Linked DNA regions of Anolis sagrei. The protein of the gene in region 1 purifies or fractionates together with the protein of each later gene. This does not show direct contact. Links are inferred from orthologs where the notes say so. Each region holds a gene or a part of one and is shown on either strand. Other genes may lie near its edges.

Region 1 (8,051 bases):
AGAGGATTCTTATTAAACTGGGTTTATTTGTGACCGATTTTCTTTTTTTTCCCCCACTCCCATGAAGCTTGGGAAAAGGACAAGGAAAGCAACTGAGAACAAGATCCAGAGTAAAACACACACACATATATATATAAAAGGCAACTTCATGCACTTTAGTCAACTCGGTGCCATTCAAACTCAGGCTTGTTTAGCTCGAAACTGAGATCCATTGTGATATTTTAATGAGAACAAAACACTTCCTTTGGATATATAGACCAGGCATCTTCAAACTGTCCCCCCCCCCCCCCCCCAGCTGTTTGGGCCTCTAACTCCCAGTAGCCCTAATGAGCTTGTTTAATTGTCAGGAATTCTGGGAGTTGAAGGCCCAAACAACTGGAGGGCCGCAGTTTGAGGATGCCTGGTATAGACGCACACATGTACTGCTACAGATGTGTGTGTATCTACACTAGGCATGGGCCAACTTGGGCCCTCCAGATGTTTTGTACTCCAGCTCCCACAATTCCTAACAGCCTCAGGCCCTTTCCTTTTCCCCCTCAGCTGCTTATGCGTTAGGCTGTTAGGAATTGTGGGAGCTGGAGTCCAAAACACCTGGAGGGCCCAAGTTGGCCCAGGCCTGATCTACACTGTAGAGTGGATGCAGTCTGACACTGCACTTCAAAGAGGGTGTCAAGCTACATACATTTTACAGTGTAGATCTCTACCTATAGCAAGGATTCCCATGTTTCACACTAAAAAAAAAATGAAAATAAAACCTCTGGCACTGCAAAGGCACTCAGCTGCCCAGACCCACGGGTGGTGAGGGTGGGGAGAGCGGGGCCAGCGAGTGACGCAGCTGCAGGACTTTCCGTGGGTTCTTTTGCTGAGGATCGAGGCTGGAGATTGCGGGCAGCCGTCTGTCAAAAGGCATTGTTCCCGCAGAGAGACTTTGCTAAGCCTGGGCCCTGTCCCCAGGTAGTCTAGACCTCCCGCACTGTCTACTGTCTCGTCCCTGGGGGAAAGGGGGGGGGGAGAGGAAGAAGAAAGGTTCTCCAAAGGACCGGCTCCGAAGGGGGCGGGGAGAGAGCAGGGAGGGGAAGAAAAACCCCTCAAAATGATGATGATAATGATACTAATACATTAATAATAATAATAATAATAATAATAATAATAAATTATTAAGTACCATATACAATAATATAATAAAAGTAGTAGTTATAATATAAATTATAATAAAAGTAGTACTAATATGCAACATAAAATAATAATATAATATATAATAAAAGTAGTAATAGAAAATACAATAATTGCAATAATAGAAAATATAATAAAAGTAGCAATATAAATATAATTATAATATAAATAAAAGTAGTAATAGAAAATACAATAATTATAATAATACAAAATATAATAAAAGTAGTAATAGAAAATATAATAAATATATATAATATAATACAAGTAAGTAATAGAAAATATAATAATTATAATGATATAAAATATAATAAAAGTAGTAATAGAAAATATAATAAAAATATAAAATATAATAAAAGTAGTAATAAAAATATAATAATTATAATAATATAAAAATGATAAAATAGAAAATATAATAATTATAATAAAAATATAATGGAAGTAATAATATAAATAGAATTATAGTAATATTAAATTAAATAAAAGGAGTCCTATAAATTACAATAATCATAACAGAAAATATAATAAAAGTAGTAATAGAAAAAATAATAGAAAATAATAAAAATAATAGAAAATATAATAATATAATAAAAGTAGTAATATAAATAGAATTATAATAATATAAAATAGACTAAAAGCAATCCTATAAAATACAATAAACATAATAGAAAATATAATAGAAGTAGTAATATAAGACTATAAGATAACATTAAATATAATAGTAATAGTTTGGTGAGGAACCAGCCTGCTTAGGTAGAGAAGGCGCAGAGGAATAACAGGAATCCCTGATTATGATTGTTGTTATGCTCGAAACCTTAGTTCTACCTTGCCAGAGCCATCCTTCAGTATACAGAGGGAGAATCCCATATACACAAAGCAGGGGGGGGGGGAGTGTAGAAGAACCCCCCCCCCCGCAACCCCATAGTGAAAGGGGGTGTTCCCCAAATCGGTGGTCACCCTTCTCCTTCTAATCCCGAATCCTTTCCAATTGCCGGGTTTGCTCCGTTTTAGATAGACTGTACCCCCGGTCTCTTCCTCCTCCTCCTCCTCCTCCTCTGCTTCGGATGGGAAAGAAAGGGCTTCTGCTGCGGCGGGGCTTACCTTCGTACATGGGGGCCATGGGTGCGAGGTTTGCCTGTTATTCATGGCCACGAAAGGCGACGCCAGCGAAGCAGGGTTGTCTCTGTGCCTGTGGGTTCTTCTCCTTCTCCTTCTTCTTCCAAAGGGGAGCCCCTTCCTCGCCTCCTTCTCCTCCTCCTCTTCTTCTTCTTCCTCCTCCTCCCGGGCCCCCCTCCTCCCTCCCCCGGCGTGGCAAAAAACTCAATCGCAATCTGCCATCTTGAGCCGACTCTGGGTCTCTCCGGAGAGGAGCCTCCTCCACCGCCGCCGCCGCGTCGCCCAGCCGCCTCCTGCCCGCATCCCTTTCTCTCCGCAGCCGCTCAAAGGGAAGGCAAGGCAAGGCAGGGCGAAGAAGGAGGAGGAGAAGCAGGAGGAGGGGGAGGAGGAGAGGTCAAGCGGAGGAGAAGGCACCTCTCCCCAGTCCCCTCCTCCCCAAACCACCGGGACCCCCTTCGGTCTTCAAGCAGGGGGGGAAGGAGAGGCAGCCACGAAAACGGGGTCTCTCTCAGCTCCGCATGCCGGTCCTGGCCGGGAGATGGCTGCAAAAGTTGCCGGAGAAGGGAGAGCAATGAGAGAACGAGGAGGAGGAGGAAAAGAGAGAGGGAGAAGGGGGGGGGGGGCAAGAGGGAAGGCACAGGGAGTTTGCAAATAATCAAGCGCCGATGGCACGGATCGCGGCTTCCCCGAAGGAAGGAGGGGAACAAAAGGGGGCGACGCGCGATCGTGGGGAAGGGACGACGCGTTTCGAGGAAGGAGAAGACAAGGAGGGAGGGGAGCCAAGCCCCGAGCCCGCCCCCCTCCGCCGGTAGCCAGGAAGGCAGGCAGGCAGGCAAGGAGGGAGGTGTGGCAGGGCTTGCTCGCTCGAGTTGTGGAAAACTTTCCCCAGGATCTACGCCAGGCACGGGCAAAACTTGGGCCCTCCCTCCAGGTGTTTTGGACTTCAGCTCCCACTATTGCTTAAACCGTCTCAATCATCCGCATCAAACCTGGTTGCAAGCACTTCATCACACCAGAGGAAAAAAATCCACTTAAAATCCGCTTTCTGCCTCCTGTAGAATTCTGGGGTTTGTAGTTTAGTGAGGCTGTTAAAGGTTCCTCCCTAAACTACAAACTCCAGAATTCTACAAGAGGCAGAAACCAGATTTTAAGTGGATTTTTTTTCTCTAGTGTGATGAGGGTTGGTTTGTGTGTGTGTCAGGAGCTACTTGATAAACTGCAAGTCGCTTCTGGTGTGAGAGAATTGGCCATCTGCAAGGCCAACCTAGCAATTTGAAAACATGCAAATGTGAGTAGATTAATAGGTACTGCTCCAGCGGGAAGGTAACAGCGCTCCATGCAGTCATGCCGGGCCACATGACCTTGGAGGTGTCTACAGACAATGCCAGCTCTTCAGCTTAGAAATGGAGATGAGCACCATACCCCGGAGTCAGACACAACTGGACTTAATATCAGGGGAATAACTTTACCTTTACCTAAGGACATTACCCAGGGGACACCAGGATGTTTTACCATCCTTGTGGGAGGCTTCTCTCATGTCCCTGCATGGGGAGCTGGAGCTGACAGAGGGAGCTCAACCGTGGTCTCCCCAGAATCCGAACCTCTAACCTGCCCCTCTTCAGTTCTGCCAGCACAAGGGTTTAACCTATTGCGCTACCCCACCAGGGGCTCCTCAAGTTTCCTAGTAAAGGCAAAGGTTTACCCCTGACATTAAATCCAGTGGTGTCCGACTCTTAGGGGTGGTGCTCATCTCCATTTCTAAGCCAAAGAGCCGGTGTTAACACCTCCAAGGTCATGACTGCATTGAGCGCCGTTACCTTCCTGCCAGAGCAGTACGTATTGATCTACTCACACTTGCATGTTTTCGGACTGCTAGGTTGGCAGAAGCTAGGGCTAACAGCAGAAGCTCACCCCACTCCCCTGATTCAAACCTGCAACCTTTTGGTCAGCAAGTTCAGCAGCTCAGCGCTTTAACCCACTGTGCCACCGGGGCTCTTATTGCTGCCTTATTGCACTGTCCCAATGGCTAGGTCCCACAGCCAAGTTTTTATCATCCTTCTAAAAGACAGGAGGGAAGGGACTGCTCAAATCTCACCAGGAAGGGAGTTCCAAAGTTGAGGGCCAATCACTGAGAAAGCCCTCTCTCTTGTCCCTACCAGTCACATGGCCTCCCCCGGAGGTTGGTTCATCAGATGCTCTGCTATGGCTGACTTCTCTGCTTGAAGTAATGTGCGGTGCCTTTCATCTTCCTTGATTCATGTTTGGCAATGCTGTGTTTGGTGGTCCCTATGTAGACTTGTCCACAGCTGCATGGTATACGGTAGACTCCTGCAGAGATGAGGGGATCCCTCTTGTCCTTTGCCAAATGTAGCATTTGTTGGATTTTCTTAGTGAGTCTGTAGATAGTTTGTAGGTTGTGTTTCTTCATCAGCTTCTGGGTTATTATATCTATTTGTACTTCCTTTCCTCTCTGGAACCAGACTCAAAGCCATAGTTTGAAGGCACTGCGAAGCTGGCCCTCCCTATGCGGGTTCTGCATCTACAGCTTGATAATGTTTTTTAAAATTCCAAAAAGCAAACCTGGTTGTGCCATTTTATATAACATATACTATTTACTATGCCATTGCATATAATGGGACTTGAACATCCTTTGATTTTGGTGTTCATGAGAAGTTCTGGAACCAAACTCTTGTAGATACCTACTGAGGGCCCAGCCATTTCCAGATTGAGCCTGACTTGGATTTTGGTATCTGCAGGAGTCCTGAGACTAAACCCCAGCAGACACACAGGGCCCACAGTGGCTCCTCCAAGAGCTCTAGGGTGCATCTACACTGGCCACTTCATGTGAAGGCATTTCAAAGAGGCAGTATTAAAATAATGCACAGCACAAACTTGTTTGAGAGGCCTTAAACTGGGATAAGCAAAATCCCTCCACAGGCCTTGTAAATTCAGCACCAAAGGAACTGCTTTGATTTAATATATACATCTGTAATAATATATCTATTTGTAATCTAATCTTCCTTTTTTCCTAAACTGCCTAAGCCAGGACTTTTCAACCAAGGTTCCCTGGAATAGTAAAATTCCACAAGAGGTCACATGTGATTTTGTGAGAGATCAGTACAGAATAATTCTGATTATCTATATCTGCAGTGATGCAACAGATTAAACCACTGAGCTGCTGAACTTGCTGCCCGAAAGGTTGGCAGTTCAAATCTGCTCATCAGTGGGTGAGCTCCCACTATTAGCCCCAGCTTCTGCCAACCTAGAAGCTTGAAAACATGCAAATGTGAGAAGTTCAACAGGCACTGCCTCGCAGGAAGGTAAATGGCACTCCATGCAGGTCATGCCAGCCACATGACCTAGGAGGTGTTTAAAGGCAATGGACAACCCAGGCTTTTTGGCTTAGAAATTGAAATGAGCACCGGTGATGAGCATCACCCCTCAGAGCTAGAATGGGAAGCCTTTACCTTTATTTGTGTTTCATTGTTTCTAGGCATTGAATGTTTAGCTTTGTGTTGTGTATACTGGACTCCACCCTGATTCTCCTTGGGGAGATAGGGCAGAATCTAACTCAAGTGTTGTTATTGTTGATGATGTTGTTGTTGTTGTAAATATAATAAATGGCTTAAATATCTTAAAGACCCCAAATCCGTTTGATCTTGGAACCTAAGCAGGGTTTGCCAAAGTGGATGGGATATTGCCAACAAATATTTAAGTGGAAGGAACTGGGAAAACCTATGGAATTTCAGGGGTCAACATAAGTTTATAAATGACTCTTTCTCTTTCTCTCTCTCTCTGTATGCCTTCAAATTACCTGCTGTCTTATAGTGACCTCATACATTTCATTGGGTTTTCTTTAACAAGGAATACGCAGAAGAGGTTTTGACAGTTCCTTCCTCTGAAATATATCCCACAGCACCTGGTATTTGCTGGCGGACTCCTATCCAAAACATAGCTGACCCTGCTTAGTTTATAAAGTCAGATGAGATCTAGTGCCTTTAGTGTGTTTGAAGGCACAGAGACATAAATATAATAATTTTTAGGCAAGGGTTCTCTGAGACCTCGGTATTATTTCACTGGTTTCTCCAGGGTAAAAAAAAAATTGGGAAGGCTGCTCTAAACAGCAAAAATGTCTGCTCGTGGTTGCAGAAATTCATTGCGTAACATATCTTATCAGTAATATTAGTTATAAAATATTTATTTTTGACCTTTCTTCACCCTATTACATTTCAGGATTTTAACAGTAGTACATCATATTCTTACGTCACACATTTTACAACACAGTATTTAGACATCAGCTAAGATAGACTCCTGATCCTTTATTCAAGTGCTCTGCATTTCTTTGTTTCACACAAACACAAACTTTGTGGGTCTTGTTTAAAGATAAGGAGTGCTGAGCTGCTGCCTCTTTTCTCCTCTTTAGTCTTTCCCCAAAAAACGGTGTGCTGTAAACAGTGTGTTTATGAATATGGTGAAATAAACCTATACTGTTGCTTTATGGAGCCCCTCCACTCCCACCTTAAAAAGAGCCACATCAGAAGCGTGTCTCTGGATTGAGTGTGACAGGCACGGGAGCCCCCTCCTGTGTTCATTTTAAGCGATCCATCTCTTTTGCTCAATTTCTGCCCTGGCACTGCCAGCTCTTTTCTTGTAACTTGTCTTCAGGGCATTTCCCTGGGGCTGTTGGCACAACCTGTCTGTTCCTCTCGCTTTCTATAGAACTTAATCTTATGGAGGTCTCAGAGTTTCATACAGCATTTTTTTTCCACAGTACATAAACTAGCCTCCCATTGACCTTATCCAGTTTCCCCAGTTTTTCATATGTGTGTGTGTGTGTGTGTGTGTGTGTGTAGCCCTTCTTCTGACCACTGAACAATCCAGGCCCAATGTTTATCTTTCCAGCCTTGGTGCCCAAGGTTTTTTTCTTTCTCTGCAACAATAAAAGCAAGCAAAATGCAAGAACACTGACCTTCTGTTAAATTCCACATTATAAGAATGTAATTTGAAAGAGCATGTGTTTCGACTAATACCAAAGAGTTTTCTAATACAAAATGAGTATGTTGAAACACATCCAGTAAAAAAGCAGTAATCACCGAACACACCCATATCATATGCCACGAGAAAACATTATCTGCTTTGCTTAGCCAACATTTGTTGTAGTAGATAGCTTCCTCTTTATAAAAAAGGGCACAATGGTGTACAGTATTTCTCAAACATCTATTTTTGTTCAACTTATTTATTTATTTACTAGCCGTCCCCTGCCATACGTTGCTGTGGCCCAGTCTGGTGATCTGGAAAATAGAGTAATGAGAAAGTGTTGCTTTCTAATATATGTAATTTCTTTATGCTTGTGGGTAAATGGTATTTCTTGCTGTTTCTTTGTCTGGTTTGCCTACTCTGGTACATGCAAGATATAATTGTCCTTCTTTAGGGGTCCCTTTTAAATGTATGATACTATATCTGTGTGTGAGAATCATATATATCTATCTATATCTATGGCTGGATGGCTCTTTGTCAGGAGGGCTTTGATTACATTTTCTTGCCCTGGTGAAGGGAGATGGACTGGATGGCCTTAAGTATTTTCTGTTGGTCATGGGGGTTTTGTGTGGGAAGTTTGCCCCAATTCTGTCAGTGGGGTTCAGAATGCTCTTTGATTGTAGGTGATCTATAAATCCCAGTAACTACAACTCCCAAATGTCAAGGTCTATTTTCCCCAAACTCCATCTGTGTTCATATTTGGGCATATGGAATATTCATGCCAAGTT
Region 2 (6,902 bases), on another chromosome or scaffold:
AATAATAAATGTAATAAAAATAATAATAGAGTAAAATAATGGAAATGTAATAACAGTAATGAGAATAAAATAATAAATGTAATAATAACAATAATAAATAGAGTAAAATAATAAATGTAATAACAATAAAGAGTAAAATAATAAATGTAAGAACAACAATAATAGAGTAAAACAATAAATGTTATAATAACAATAAAGAGTAAAATAATAAATATAATAATAATAATAATAATAATAATAATAAATAGAGTAAAATAATAAATGCAATAAAAATAATACTAATAACAGAGTAAAATAGTAAATAACACTGACTCGAGTATAAGCCGAGGGGAGGTTTTTCAGCCTAAAAAGGGGGTTGAAAAACTAGGCTTATACTCGAGTATATTCAGTATTTTAAAGTCTGTGCTGATATCAATGTCACAGGTGACCAAAGTGCCTGTGTGAGAAATGCTGACTTATAATTTCATATTTTTTTATCCACTTGGAAATAAGCTTTACTAGGATCAATGAGATATTTCACTCCTATAAGTGGAAAGTCAACTAGGCTAGTGGTTGGAACATTGGGCTACAATTCTGGATTTGAATCTCCGCTTGACCTTTAAACCCAGTGAGTAATGCTGGACACATCACATTCTTTCAGCCTCAGAGGAAGGCCATGGCAAACCTCTTCTGAACGAATCTTACCAAGACAGTCCTGTAAAGGGGCTGCAACAAGTCAGAAACAACTTGAAGGCATATGGCAAGTGGAGTACAGGCAGTCCCCAAATGTACACTGAAGCTTTATCACCAATCCTTGTTCCACAGAGTTTTTGTTTTGGCCTGGAAAGTAAAAGCGATGACTGTTGTACTCCAGAACAGGGATAATCCTCTGACTTTAAACACCACACATTGAATAGGAAAAAAACAATCCTTTTATTAAAGATAAGTAAAAAGCAGCAAAGAAAAAAGCTCTTTAAAGAAATGTTGTTGTTGTTCATTCGTTCAGTCGTCTCCAACTCTTCGTGACCTCATGGACCAGCCCACGCCAGAGCTTCCTGTCGACTGTCACCACCCCCAGCTCCTTCAAGGTCAGTCCAGTCACTTCAAGGCTGCCATCCATCCATCTTGCCCGTGGTTGGCCCCTCTTCCTTTTACCTTCCACTTTCCCCAGCATAATTGTCTTCTCTAGGCTTTGCTGTCTCCTCATGATGTGGCCAAAGTACTTCAACTTTGTCTCTAATATCCTTCCCTCCAATGAGCAGTCGGGCTTTATTTCCTGGAGGATGGACTGGTTGGATCTTCTCGCAGTCCAAGGCACTCTCAGAACTTTCCTCCAACACCACAGTTCAAAAGCATCTATCTTCCTTCGCTCAGCCTTCCCTAAGGTCCAGCTCTCACATCCGTAGGTTACTACAGGGAATACCATGGCTTTGACTAGGCGGATCTTTGTTGCCAGTGTGATGTCTCTGCTCTTTACTATTTTATCGAGATTGGACATTGCTCTCCTCCCAAGAAGTAAGTGTCTTCTGATTTCCTGGCCACAGTCTGCATCTGCAGTAATCTTTGCACCTAGTAATACAAAGTCTGTCACGGCCTCCACATTTTCTCCCTCTATTTCCCAGTTGTCAATCATTCTTGTTGCCATAATCTTGGTTTTTTTTATGTTTAGCTGCAACCCGGCTTTTGTGCTTTCTTCTTTCACCTTGATTAGAAGGCTCCTCAGGTCCTCCTCACTTTCGGCCATCAGAGTGGTGTCATCTGCATATCTGAGGTTGTTAATGTTTCTTCCAGCAATTTTCACCCGAGCCTTGCATTTGTCAAGTCCCGCGCATCGCATGATGTGTTCTGCCTACAAGTTGAATAGTTGTTGTTGTTTTTGTTTTTTTGGGGGGGGGGGGTTGTCGTGTCAGGAGCAACCTGAGAAACTGAAAGTCGCTTCTGGTGTGAGAGACTTGGCCATCTGCAAGGACGTTGCCCAGAGGATGATTTGATGTTTTATCATCCTTGTGGGAGGCTTCTATCATGTCCCTGCATGAGGAGCTGGAGTTGATAGAGGGAGCTCATCTGCCTCTCCCCGAATTCGAACCTGCGACCTGTCGGTCTTCAGTCCTGCTGGCACAGGGGTTTAACCCACTACGCCACTGGGGGCTCCGTAGCTGTATAGGTTGGGTGAGAGTATACAGCCCTGCCGTACGCTTTTCCCAGTCTTGAATCAGTCTGTTGTTCCATGGTCAGTTCTTACTGTTGCTACTTGGTCTTTATTCAGGTCCCTCAGGAGACAGACAAGGTGATGTAGTATCCCCATACAATGTAAATTGGTAGAAAAGTGGGTAATGAACCATCTAGATTTGGTGGAGAAGGTGCTTGCAGTTCTGGAGGGACTCTAATTTTTCTTCTCATAGATTTGGCATGGAGATTTGTTTAACCAAGAAAAATTCATGGGAAATTTTTCAGGTGTGGTTTGAACCCCTAAAGCAGGGGTCCTCAAACGTTTTAAACAGAGGGCCATGTCAGAGTCCCTCAAACTGTTGGAGGGCCGGATTATAATTTGAAAAAAAAAAGAATGGATTCATATGCACACTGCACATATCTTATTTGTAGTGCAAAAAACACTTAAAAACAATGCAATAATTAAAATGAAGAACAATTTTAACAAATATAAACTTGTATTGTCGAAGGCTTTCATGGCCGGAATCACTGGGTTGTTGTAGGTTTTTTCAGGCTATATGGCCAGGAGAGAAATGCCTCTAGACCAGGGGTCCTCAAACTAAGGCCCGGGGGCCAGATGCGGCCCTCCAAGGTCATTTACCTGGCCCTCGCTCAGGGTCAACCTAAGTCTGAAACAACTTGAAAGCACAACACAACAATAACAATCCTGTAAATGCTCCCCTCTCATTCCTTTTATAACTTCCCAGTCGTCTGATATTTGTTATTAGCCGCCCCCTATTTTAGATTCATACATGCACTTTAAACTGTAAGTTTAGTCTGTTTTATCTTTTTAATTTGTCTCTTTTATAACATGTTTTTAGTCTGCTTTTAATCTGCTTTTATACTTACTTATCTACTTGGGAACTATACCTACTTTTATACCTACTATCTACTTGGGAACTGCGATTCCCTTCCTTGGGCACCGATGCCCCATTCTGTACTGTGCTGGTCAAAGACCGTAATAAATCATTGATTGATTGAATAACAATCCTATATCATCAGCCAAAAGCAGGTCCACACTTCCCACTGAAATAATAATAAGTTTATATTTGGTAAAATTGTTCTCCATGTTAATTATTGTATTGCTTTTAAGTGATTTTTTGCAGTACAAATAAAATATATTCAGTGTGCAAAGAAATTAATTCATTTTTTCAAGTTATACTCTGGCCCTCCAACAGTTTGAGGGACTGTGACCTGGCACTCTGTTTAAAAAGTTTGTGGACCCCTGATCTAGACCATGGCCATCTAGCCCGAAAAAACCTACAACAACCCAAATATAAACCTATTCGTATTTCAATGGCAAGTGCGGGCCTGCTTTTGGCTGATGAGATAGGATTGTTGTTGCTGTTGTGTGCCTTCAAGTTGTTTAAGACTTAGGTTGACCCTGAGCAGGGGCCGGGTAAATGACCTTGGAGGGCCATATCTGGCCCCCGGGTCTAAGTTTGAGGACCTCTGCCCTAAAGGCTTACTTGCTCTATGTTTTTCTCTATACATCTATCTACCTGTGGCTATGATATAGCCTGATTATTATTTTTTGTCAGAGGGGCGGGTTTTAATCAAGAGCGACAAGTATTCCCGCCAATAGCGTCGACGCTGCCGGGGAACCAATGAGCGGCGGAGCTTTGTGGAATGGCGTGGCGGGCAGCCAATGAGAGGGCCGGGCCCGAGTCGCAGTGGGCGAACGGCGACGGAGAGTAGTTGGCGGTCGCCGTTGTGTGCGAGGGAGAGGGAGAAGGGCCGCCGCCGCCGCTGCGGGAGGAGGAGGAGGAGGAGGAGGAGGCCTTCCCTCCCTCCCGCCATGTCGCTGCACGGGAAGCGCAAGGAGATCTACAAGTACGAGGCGCCATGGACCGTCTACGCCATGAACTGGAGCGTCAGGCCCGACAAGCGCTTCAGGCTGGCGCTCGGCAGCTTCGTGGAGGAATACAACAATAAAGTAGGCGGCGGAGAGCGGGGAGGGAGGAGGGAGGGAGGCCGCGGGTGAGGCGCCACGCAAGGCCGGAGGCCTGGCCCCTCTCCTGCCTGCCTGCCTGCTGCGGGAGGCCTCCCTCTGCTTCTCCTCAGGGAAAGGCAGAGGCTGGACCCCTTTTCCACAGCCACATCTCCCGCCGGGATTTGTAGTTCCGTGTGGCTGTCGATCTCTGCCAAATACCTCCCCAAACTACACATCCCATCACCGCGTAGGCCTTAGTGACAGTTGGGGCGCTTATTCCAAGCAGAAGGCTCCACAGGGCCCTTCCACACAGGCCTATAACCCAGAATATCAAGGCAGAAAATCCCACTGGGTTATCTGAGGCCCCTTCCACACAGCTGAATAAAATCCCACATTATCTGCTTTGAACTGGAATATATGGCGGTGTGGACTCAGATCTATATAAATAAAAATGTAATGTTCGTTTGTGGGATTAATATAACTCAAAAACCACTGGACGAAATGACACGAAATTTGGACACAAGTGACCATCACTCATTTAAAAAAAAACACACAGCAAAAGGGACTTATAAAGCCACCCCCCCCCCAAAATTACATTACAATGCATGCACAAAACCACACATCTCTGCCAATTACCTCCCCAAACTACACATCCCATCATCGCACAGGCCATAGTGACAGTTGGGGCATTTATTCCAAGCAGAAGGCTCCAGAGGGCCCTTCCACACAGCCATATAACCCAGAATATCAAGGCAGAAAATCCCACAATGTCTGCTTTGACCTGGTTATCTGAATAAAATCCGACATTATCTGCTTTGAGCTGGAATATATGGCGATGTGGACTCAGATAATCTAGGGCCCTTCCAGACAGGCCCTGTATCCCAGGATCTGATCCCAGGTTTTCTGTTTATCCCAGATTATCTGGTAGTGAGGACACATATAATCTATATAAATAAAAATGTAATGTTCAATGTATTGTCGAAGGCTTTCATGGCTGGAATCACTAGGTTCTTGTGGGTTTTTTCGGGCTATAGGGCCATGTTCTAGAGGCATTTCTCCTGACGTTAGGCGAAACATCAGGAGAAATGCCTCTAGAACAGCGTTTCTCAACCTGGGGGTCAGGACCCCTGGGTGGGTCGTGAGGCGGTGTCAGGGGGGTCGCCAAAAACCATTAGAAAACACAGTATTTTCTGTTGGTCATGGGGGTTCTGTGTGGGAAGTTTGGCCCAATTTTATCGTTGGTGGGGTTCAGAATGCTATTTGATTGAAGGTGAACTATAAATCCCAGCAACTACAACTCCCAAATGTCAAGGTCTAGTTTCCCCAAACTCCGCCAGTGTTCACATTTGGGCATATTGAGTATTTGTGCCAAGTTTGGTCCAGATCCAACATTGTTTGAGTCCACAGTACTCTCTGGATGTAGGTGAACTACAAGTCCCAAAAGTCAAGGTCAGTGCCCACCAAACCCTTCCAGTATTTTCTGTTAGTCATGGGAGTTCTGTGCATCAAAATTGGTTCAATTCCATCGTTGGTGGAGTTCAGAATGCTCTTTGATTGAAAATGAACTATAAATCCCAGCAACAACAACTCCCAAATGACAAAATCAACCGCCCACCCCAAATCCCACCAGTATTCAAATTTGGGCATATGGGTATTTGTGCCAAATGTGGTCCAGTGAATGAAATACATCCTGCATATCAGATATTTACATTATGATTCATAACAGGAGCAAAATTACAGTTATGAAGTAGCAATGACAATAACACTATGTTTGAGGGTCACCACAACATGAGGAACTGTATTAAGGGGTCGCGGCATCAGGCATCAGGAAGGTTGAGAAACACTGCTCTACAATATGGCCCTATAGCCCGAAAAAACCCACAAGAACCTAATGTAATGTTCGTTTGTGGGATTAATATAACTCAAAAACCACTGGACGAATTGACACCAAATTTGGAGACAAGACACCTATCAGGCCAATGAGTGACCATCATTCATTTAAAAAAAAAGACACAGCAAAAGGGACTTAAAAAGCAAAAAAAAAAAAAAACCCCAAAATTACATTACAATGCATGCACAAAACCACACATATATACGTAAACACACAAAACACATAGACACAGACTGGGCCACAGCAATGCGTGGTAGGGGACGGCTAGTCTATATAAATAAAAATGTAATGTTCGTTTGTGGGATTAACATAACTCAAAAACCACTGGGGGAATTGACACCAAATTTGGACACGATACACCCAGCAACCCTATATATGTCCTTCACTAAAAAAAAATTGATTTTGTCATTTGGGAGTTGCAGTTGCTGGGATTTATAGTTCAGCTACAATCAAAGAGCATTCTGAATCTCACCAACGATGGAATTGAACCAAACTTAGCACAAAGATCTCCCACAACCATCAGAAAATACTGGAAGGGTTTGGTGTTGTCCTTTGGTTTTGGAGTTGAAGTTCACCTACATCCAGAGATCACTGTGGACACAAACAATGATGGATCTGGACCAAACTCTACACGAATACTCGATATGCCCAAATGTGAACACTGGTGGAGTTTGGGGGAAATAGAATCTTGACATTCGGGAGTTGTAGTGGCTGGGATTTATAGTTCACCTACAATCACAGAGCATTCTGAACCCCACCAATGATGGAATTGAACCAAACTTAGCATACAGATCTCCCACGACCAACAGAAAATACTGGAAGGGTTTGGTGGGCAGTGTCCTTGGTTTTGGAGTTTAAGTTCACCTACATCCAGAGATCACTGTGGACACA

The links. The genes of interacting proteins can lie anywhere in the genome.
Region 2: the proteins of HIPK2 (region 1) and DCAF7 purify together in Homo sapiens (affinity purification with western blotting; 3 studies listed by BioGRID and IntAct, with this or other methods). This does not show direct contact. The link is inferred for Anolis sagrei from reciprocal best matches to the Homo sapiens genes HIPK2 and DCAF7.

Annotation. Positions count from the first base shown.
Region 1 is NC_090025.1:172,262,968-172,271,018, reverse strand, and holds the start of HIPK2 (homeodomain-interacting protein kinase 2), read right to left. Parts: upstream 3,056-8,051; 5' UTR 2,291-3,055; coding exon 2,272-2,290; intron 1-2,271.
Region 2 is NC_090026.1:51,933,742-51,940,643, forward strand, and holds the start of DCAF7 (DDB1- and CUL4-associated factor 7), read left to right. Parts: upstream 1-3,849; 5' UTR 3,850-3,985; coding exon 3,986-4,123; intron 4,124-6,902. UniProt on the Homo sapiens protein: Involved in craniofacial development. Acts upstream of the EDN1 pathway and is required for formation of the upper jaw equivalent, the palatoquadrate. The activity required for EDN1 pathway function differs between the first and second arches.